Linked DNA regions of Callithrix jacchus. The protein of the gene in region 1 interacts with the protein of each later gene in a pairwise test. Links are inferred from orthologs where the notes say so. Each region holds a gene or a part of one and is shown in the gene's direction. Other genes may lie near its edges.

The links.
Region 2: the proteins of MYPN (region 1) and ANKRD1 interact in a two-hybrid assay, tested with the Homo sapiens proteins (2 studies listed by BioGRID). The link is inferred for Callithrix jacchus from reciprocal best matches to the Homo sapiens genes MYPN and ANKRD1.

Annotation. Positions count from the first base shown.
Region 1 is NC_133513.1:62,291,972-62,296,279, reverse strand, and holds the start of MYPN (myopalladin), read left to right. Parts: upstream 1-1,486; 5' UTR 1,487-1,551; intron 1,552-4,308. UniProt on the Homo sapiens protein: Component of the sarcomere that tethers together nebulin (skeletal muscle) and nebulette (cardiac muscle) to alpha-actinin, at the Z lines.
Region 2 is NC_133513.1:83,691,338-83,695,049, reverse strand, and holds part of ANKRD1 (ankyrin repeat domain-containing protein 1), read left to right. Parts: intron 1-400; coding exon 401-499; intron 500-1,960; coding exon 1,961-2,059; intron 2,060-2,336; coding exon 2,337-2,435; intron 2,436-2,574; coding exon 2,575-2,673; intron 2,674-3,712. UniProt on the Homo sapiens protein: May play an important role in endothelial cell activation. May act as a nuclear transcription factor that negatively regulates the expression of cardiac genes. Induction seems to be correlated with apoptotic cell death in hepatoma cells.

The DNA of each region.
Region 1 (4,308 bases):
ATCTGCCCACCTCGGCCTCCCAAAATGCTGTGATTATAGGCATGAGCCACTGTACCTGGCCTAAAGTTAGTTTTAAAAGAACCAACCTCTTATATTGTTTCAGCACAATAACTGTAACAAATAGAAACAAAAAAATAGGTCTGTCATAGCATTCTGACTGCTTCCAGTGCCCTACTTTTCCACACTAATGCCTAATGCTCCAGTCTACATATTAATTCGTGTTCCCAGATAAAATATTGCATATAGAGTTTATTTGCAAGCATTTGCTTTTTTCTTTCTAAATTATCACTTCTTTTTGTTTGTTTAGTCATACAAGATAATTTCAGGGTTGGTTTCAGTCAGAAAAATCATTAACTTAAAACCCTACATAGAGTTCCCTCAGAATATTTACTAAAAGAAAGATATGTTTTCTGTTGATTTTTACCTTTAATTTTTTACAAATATGTTGGAAATGTAATCATTTGAATATTTGCAATAGTTATGAGCACAGACCTTGGTTCAATTTTGGCTAAGTCACTTACTTGTCTTGTGACCTTGGGCAAGTTTTAAACTAATTTCTAAGCCTCAAGTTTTCATCTGTAAAATGAGAATTGTAATGATACCTACTTCATAGACTATTTTTCTTTTTTTTTATATACATGTTTAATCCATGCATATACTTCATAGACTGTTAAGGGAATCCATTACATAAAACACAACATACACAAAGGGTCTAGCATAGTGCCCAGTACATAGCTAAGAAATGTTAACTTATTTCTACCAAGATTGTACTGTATTTATGTATGTTCATATAGTTATATATATTAATGTGGTAAGAAGTAGGATTTAACTGTATACTTTGAGGAATACATACATGATAACAATTGTTCCAGATTTCATCAGTAACTTAGTCTCAGAGCGCTCTTTTAAAGAGTTCTGAATAGATTTTCTTCTTGGAAATAATACTTTTTGAAAAGTGCAAACTTTGATATGTGCTATATACCAAAAGCACAAGTAAAGGAAGCTTTGTTGTGTTTTAATACAAACCACATAACAAAACTTTAATCACCTTAAAATTAGGGGAGCAAGCAGGAAGTACTGTAATAATTAATTGTTTTTCCATATTTACCTTAAGAAATGCCTTGACCACAGTCCCAGCATGGTACTAAACAGATATTTACACATGTAATATGCATTCTGTATATAGATGTCTTATGTATTCCCTATGCTTTATTCTTGAGAATTTTGTCACTACTATTTTCATTTAGTCTAAGAAGAAATCAAGAAAGCCTATTTCCTTAGTTATCTTAGTCATTATCCACCCCACCAGCCCTCCAGGCTAAGAACATCGTGCAGACTGAGTTATTAAAGTTGATCTGAAAGAGCAATCTGTTCTAAATGACTGTCCCTGGATCTGCAACGGAACCCTGTAAATACCCTTCATTACACTGGCGGGACTGTATCACATTTCCCTTCGTGCCACTTTTGTGTCTGACACAAGTTAGGCAGTGAGATTCGGACTTTAGATGATCCTGGTTGATTGATAGAGGAATGGTGCTTCTCCTGAGACAGGTAACCACAAATTTACTTCTCAGGGTAATGTTTTTAAGTGGGTATTCTGTTTAGTTTTTAAAAATGTTTTTAGTTTTTAAAACTAAGTTGGTTTTGAACTTTTAAATCGTTTTTTAAAAATGTTTTTAGTTTTCCCAGGCAAGCATTTTCAGTACTGTTTAGATGAAAAAGAAATTTCTTAATGATTTCATTGTCTTTTTCAATTATATTATTGTTATGCCTTTTGTATAATGTTTTCTAAAATCCACCACCAATCTATTGTTTTGGATGGTCAAGAACTTGTCTTTGCTGTGAAAATTTTTCTCATTAAAAATGGCTAAAAAATACATACTGTCTGTTTTTCAAAAATACCACGCAGAGGTTTTGTTTAGTTTTTTTCATCTGATACTGGGTCTCTTAAGATGAATCTACAAACTTCAAGCAAAACTTATTGAAGCTTTGGTATATGTGAGTAATTTGTTTTAGAGAACTGGAGCCTATAGCGATATAAGAAAAATAGCAAATGCAAATATTTTATATGAATCTACTAGCATGGAAATTCTCTCATGCTTATCGTCCAAGTGAAGACTTCCTCTGTCATAGATCTTCCAGATTCCTTGACATTCCTGTGGATCATCCCAATGTGAGTAAACTGTTTCTGTGGCTGACTGACTGAATTAAGAAAACAGCTGAAGGCAAGCACAGGATCATGTTCAAACCACAAGAAACACATGTGTTGGATGAGCCACTCAATTTTATGGGGAAGGCTTGAGACATGTAACCAACCTTGTGTTTGCTTGCCACTTAACAAGGCTTGTGTTTAACTATGTTGGTCATTAAAAAGTTTTAAAGGTTATTTTTTGTATCAATTAACTCTGATGAAATCTTGAACTGTAGGTTTGTGGTATAATGTTTATACAATTACAACTGAAGATAAGCAAGGTGGGAACTGGGTTATTTGGGAGCAGAAATCAAATTTTAAAAACTAAAATCTAAAATATGTTTGATGTGTCATAACCAAGGTGTTCACAATTGCTAAATATTGTTTATTCAAAACATTTATATTCAGTTTTTTTTTCAAAGAGCTAAAAAATCGTGTACGGTATCTGTGTTTGAAAATGTTTCAGAAAAATTAAAAGAGGAAGATGACTGCCATTCAGAATTTCTTTGGCTTCTTTTTTCTTTCTTTCTTTCTTTTTAGACAGAGTCTTGCTCTGTTGCCCAGGCTGAAGTGCAATGGCATGATCTCAGCTCACTGCAACCTCCACCTCCCAGGTTCAAGAGATTCTCCTGCCTTAGCCTCCAGAGTAGCTGTGACTATAGGCACGCACCTCCACACCTGGCTAATTTTCTTGTATTTTTAGTAGAGATGGGGTTTTGCAATGTTGCCCAGGCTGGTCTCGAACTCCTGAGCTCAGGTGATCCACCCTCCTCAACCTTCCAAAGTGCTAAGGTTACAGGCATAAGCCACCGCGCCTGGCCAGCTTCTTTTTTCTGTAATTCTTTTTTTTGCATTTTAAAACTACTTAAAATTCTTCATATAGATTCCTAATTTCCCTGCCCAACCAGTTTTATTCTAGCTTTTAGTATGAGTCTCTTTCAACCTTAGTATTCTATACCTGGGTGAAAGAATACCAGGCTCACCATGGCAGTTTGCAGGAAAGTCTTGGACTCCTGACCTCAAGTGATCCACCCACCTCAGCTTCCCAAAGTTCTAGGATTACAGGCATGAGCCACCATGCCTGGCCCAGTTTGCAGGAAAGTAAAAATGTGTTAACTTATAGTGTGTTTAAACATTGCCCTTACTAGCCACCCAAAATAGAGGTTCTACTCTCCCACATCCCCACCCAAGACCTAGCAGCACTTACATTGATTATGGCTTAAGATCTGAGTGGGATAGTGGAGGAAGATCCTCTTTTTAAATAAAAAGAAATTGTTGGCATATCCACATAAATAGAATATGTAGAAGGACAATTAAGTGGTCTTGACATTAGTATCAGCACAAGATTAGGTAAGAGAGCAAATGAACCTGTATATTGAAGCTCCGGATTACTGTGGTAATGAGAATAACCTAACTGGAGAATTCATTTCCTCCTGTACTCTTTTCTCTCCTCAATATCAGTTATTTTCATCTGAATTATTTAAAAGTGTTCCTCATTTTTTTTACCTGTGTAAACATAAAATTACATTAAAAAGGTATAATTAAACCTCCAATGCAATCACAATAAACAAAGAAATTTTATATCTATTCAATGTACTATAAATAGTCTCATGATGACTGAAGAGGATAAAGGTCTCTTAGTAAATTCCATGAGGTCAGAATTTTTTGTGTATTTTGTGCACTGCTTTATAACAGAGTAGGCATTAAGTAAATAATTATCAAATGAATGAATGACTAGGAAGAAACCCTATAAGCAGTTGTGTTGTGACTTAAGAAAGCTAGATTTAAACCAATATATTTCATGCTATCAGAATCCAAGAATGATCCTTTTAAAGAATAGTAACCATCATTTAAGTCTGAATTTTCAAAGTCCTGACTTCTTTTTTTTTTTTTTCATTTTGGCTCCCCCACACCAGGAAGTCCTGACTTCTACCATGATTAATAATGTAATAGCATCATTTAATCTGTACTAAGCAATCAGGTTAACTTTTTTCAAATTTATTTATTTATTATTATTATTTTTGAGATGGAGTTTTACTCTGTCCCCCAGGTTGGAGTGCAGTGGTGCAATCTTGGCTCACTGCAACTTCTGCCTCCCAGGTTCAAATGATTCTCCT
Region 2 (3,712 bases), about 21 Mb from region 1:
CATGTCTCCCATTCTCCTAAAAATGAATTGAAACTTTTTGATAGTCAGTCTGGCTACAGGCCCAGATGCAAGAAAACTGTCTGATCTGCATGGTAAATGCTGTATGAACAAGGGAAGTGCAAGATACAAGAAAGGGAGATGTCAGCATTTAGGTAATTTTGAGCCTTTAAGTTCACATTCCTCAACATAGGCCTTTGAGCCCTTAGGGCTCAAATATTAGTTGCAGGATAATTGTTCTGATTCTGCAATTTTAGTTAACTTTGACATTTCTAATTCATAAAGAAGCACTTGAGTTTCTCTCAGTTACATCATCAGAATCTTCAGCTTCATAGTTCTTAAAAGGGTTTATGCACATTTTTATATTTATTACTATCTCTTTTTTAAAATCTTGTTCTGATAGTATAAACGGACAGCTCTTCATAGAGCATGCTTGGAAGGACATTTGGCAATTGTGGAGAAGTTAATGGAAGCTGGAGCCCAGATTGAATTCCGTGATATGGTAAATATATTTCTTTGCTTGGGAATGAGCCAAAATAAGTAAACCATATGAAGCTCCAGAAAACCTCCAATGCAAAACCAGGCTGACTGGATTGAAAATTGATCTGAGAAAATGAGGCAAAAGCTCATTTCTCCAAATAAAGTTGGGAGATGAGACTGGGTCATGTGGAATATTTTCCATACATACTGAAAATAGAGGAATATTTCAGGGAAAAGAAGGAAGTGAGAGCTGTTAAACAGAATTCAATATCCTCATCAGCAAGTTAGTCATTCATTTTCAACAATTGACTTACAACAGCCTTGTCCCTCCATTGTACACAGGGCAGCCTGCTCATGGTCCCTTGGCTGCCAGCAACATATACGAATTCTCTAGCTGCACACTTTATATGATAGATGCCAATTGCCACCAATGAGATTTGGGGCTAGACTGCATGTGAAATGAATTGCATCTATGGAAAGTAGCCGCTATTCAGACTTCAATAATTCAATCACTGTAATTTCTACAAAGACCAGTATGCAGCATAATTTATGAACTGAAGATTGAGCTGGGAAAATGCTTTATGTATTTAAATGCAGCTCAATTGGATTTTATAGCAAAGTGGAAAACGAGATATCAAAGAAATCCAAAGGACTTGGCCAAAATTGAATCCAAAATACAAACACATTGAAAAAAATTAAAGAAACAAAATATGAGTTTACATGGAAACTAAAAAATCGTGAGTGTGGGATTAAGGTCAGGGGCATACCAACTACACAGAGCAGTGAGGAAGGGGTCTCCTAGGTTTAACTATGCAAGTTACAACTGGAGCCACAAGTGACCACAGTTGAGGTACAGAGGCTGTGCCAGCAAAAATGAGAGCAGAAAACCCACAGGGGTAGAGAAAGAGTGACAAGGACCACAGATGAGGTGTCAGATCCAGATTAAAATATTTTAGAAGGCACTACTTTTATTCTGCCAGAATTTTTAAGTACATGTGTTTAGAACTTCTGAGTATATTTTACAAAAGTGGCTAAAAGTTCCAGGCAGATGGGGGTTTGAATATGTATTCTGCCTCTTATTAACTGTGTTTCCTTGGGCTAGAAACTTGAACTTTTGGGAACCTGGTTTTTCCTAACTGTAAAATGTGCATAGTACCACCTACCTCAAAATGTTGCTGGAAGAATCAAGGTGTCTAGAGTGTAGCACCATGTTGGCATGAGAAATGTCTCAATAAATGGTCGTTCTTGTTCTTTTAAAAATTATTAGATTTATTAAGAGCCTCCTAATAAAACACACATATGCACGCACACACACATATAACTTGCTAACAGATTTGGTGAAAAAACATCTTTGACTCCAGTTAGAATTGGCAGTCTAGATGGGGACAACTCATTGTTATCACGGATGCCTTGGCAATCAGCTTCTAATTCCCCAGACCACATTCTCCTTCATGTTGTCGGGTCTTTTTCCCTCCCGGTATAGCTCGAATCCACAGCCATCCACTGGGCAAGCCGTGGAGGAAACCTGGATGTTTTAAAATTGTTGCTGAACAAAGGAGCAAAAATTAGCGCCCGAGATAAGGTATTTCTTCTCCTTTTCTTCCCTTCAATCACCCCTTCCCCCTCCCTGTTACCCTCCTCCTTCTCCACTTCTCCCACTCTTCCCCCTTCCTCACCCCTCTTCCTCCTTCCCTTCTCCCTCTCCTAACCTCACCTCTCCGTTAAAGTCATCAGGAGGCCCTTGCTGTGTGCAGACACCCTAGTGACCACTTCTCCCCCTCGCACATGTCTTGGGGTCTGGGACAGCCTCTCCTCTATCCTCATTCCTAGCGAATCAGCAGCGTTTTCCAATTTTCCAGTTGCTCAGCACAGCGCTGCATGTGGCGGTGAGGACTGGCCACTATGAGTGCGCGGAGCATCTTATCGCCTGTGAGGCCGACCTCAACGCCAAAGACAGAGTGAGTAGCTGAACACACTCGGGTTTCCCAAAGCTTCATTGCTTATGTGTTAGGAATCACTCCCCCAAGCCTGGGTGCCCTTGCAGGACCCAATTCTGGCCTTAGACCCACCTTGAGTCTGTTTACTCTGCTTCTCTAGGAAGGAGATACCCCCTTGCACGATGCGGTGAGACTGAATCGCTATAAGATGATCCGACTCCTGATAATGTACGGCGCGGATCTCAATATCAAGAACTGTGTAAGTACTGGGAACCAGAAACACTGCTTGCAAGCTTTCTAATTTCCAGAAGCATTTCTTAAATACGTGAAAAGACCTCCATAGTGGCATTATTTGGGGGTCTAAATGTCCCTGCCCATTTCTCTGAGGACAGTGTTTATCTTGGCTAGCACTCAGGTCACATGGCCAGAGAAGGGGAAGTCATCGGTACTGCTGTGACTTCAGTGCCCGATAAGATACCTAATAATTCTTTTACAGTTCGGTCTTGAAAATGAAAGATAGTCAAAATTTGCACATCCACACAAATACCTAGAAGTCCAATCTACCTTGGCCAATCCTATCAGTTCAAGGGCTGAGAAAGTTAGAAGTAAAGACCGCTACCATTTCTGAAATGGTCTAAAATTCCACAAGGGTCAGTGCAGGCAGTGAACTAAAGTTAATCAGTATCCAATCTGAGTAATTCAGAAGGTCCCTTTCCTCCTTACAGCAATGTGAAATGTCACCATTTTCTTTTAGGGGTAGCTGTGCTTTTGCCTGTATTTTTTATTTTTTCAGATAATTTCTATCTATTCTCCACTTGGATTTGTCTGCAGATCTCTCAAAATAATTTCCTATATTTAGGCCCTGAAAATTCTTGTATAAGTACATATTAATTTAACTTCATCTGTAAGCAGGGAACATAACCAACTTTTCCTCATGGTCTCAATTTCCAGACAAACACCATCTAATATAAGCTTTAAAAATATTGCCCAGAGGAACGGATATACATTTCTGAAGAAACAATTTTTAAGAAGCTTCTGAAGAATCACTTTACAAAAAAGGGTGGAGGGGGGACTCTGTCATCATATAAATGCAAATAATTTTCTCCCCTATTTGTGTTGCAAAGACTGAGAGGAATATCTTATCATTTAAAAAAATCTGGCTTGGTGACAGGATCAAAGAATGGTGATAAATGAAGATTGCTTGGGATGGGAAAGTGTTAACAGTAGTGCTTCCTCAGGCTAAATATTGGAATTGATCTTATCTAATATTTTTTACCTATCAGAAAAAGGGCAGGTTC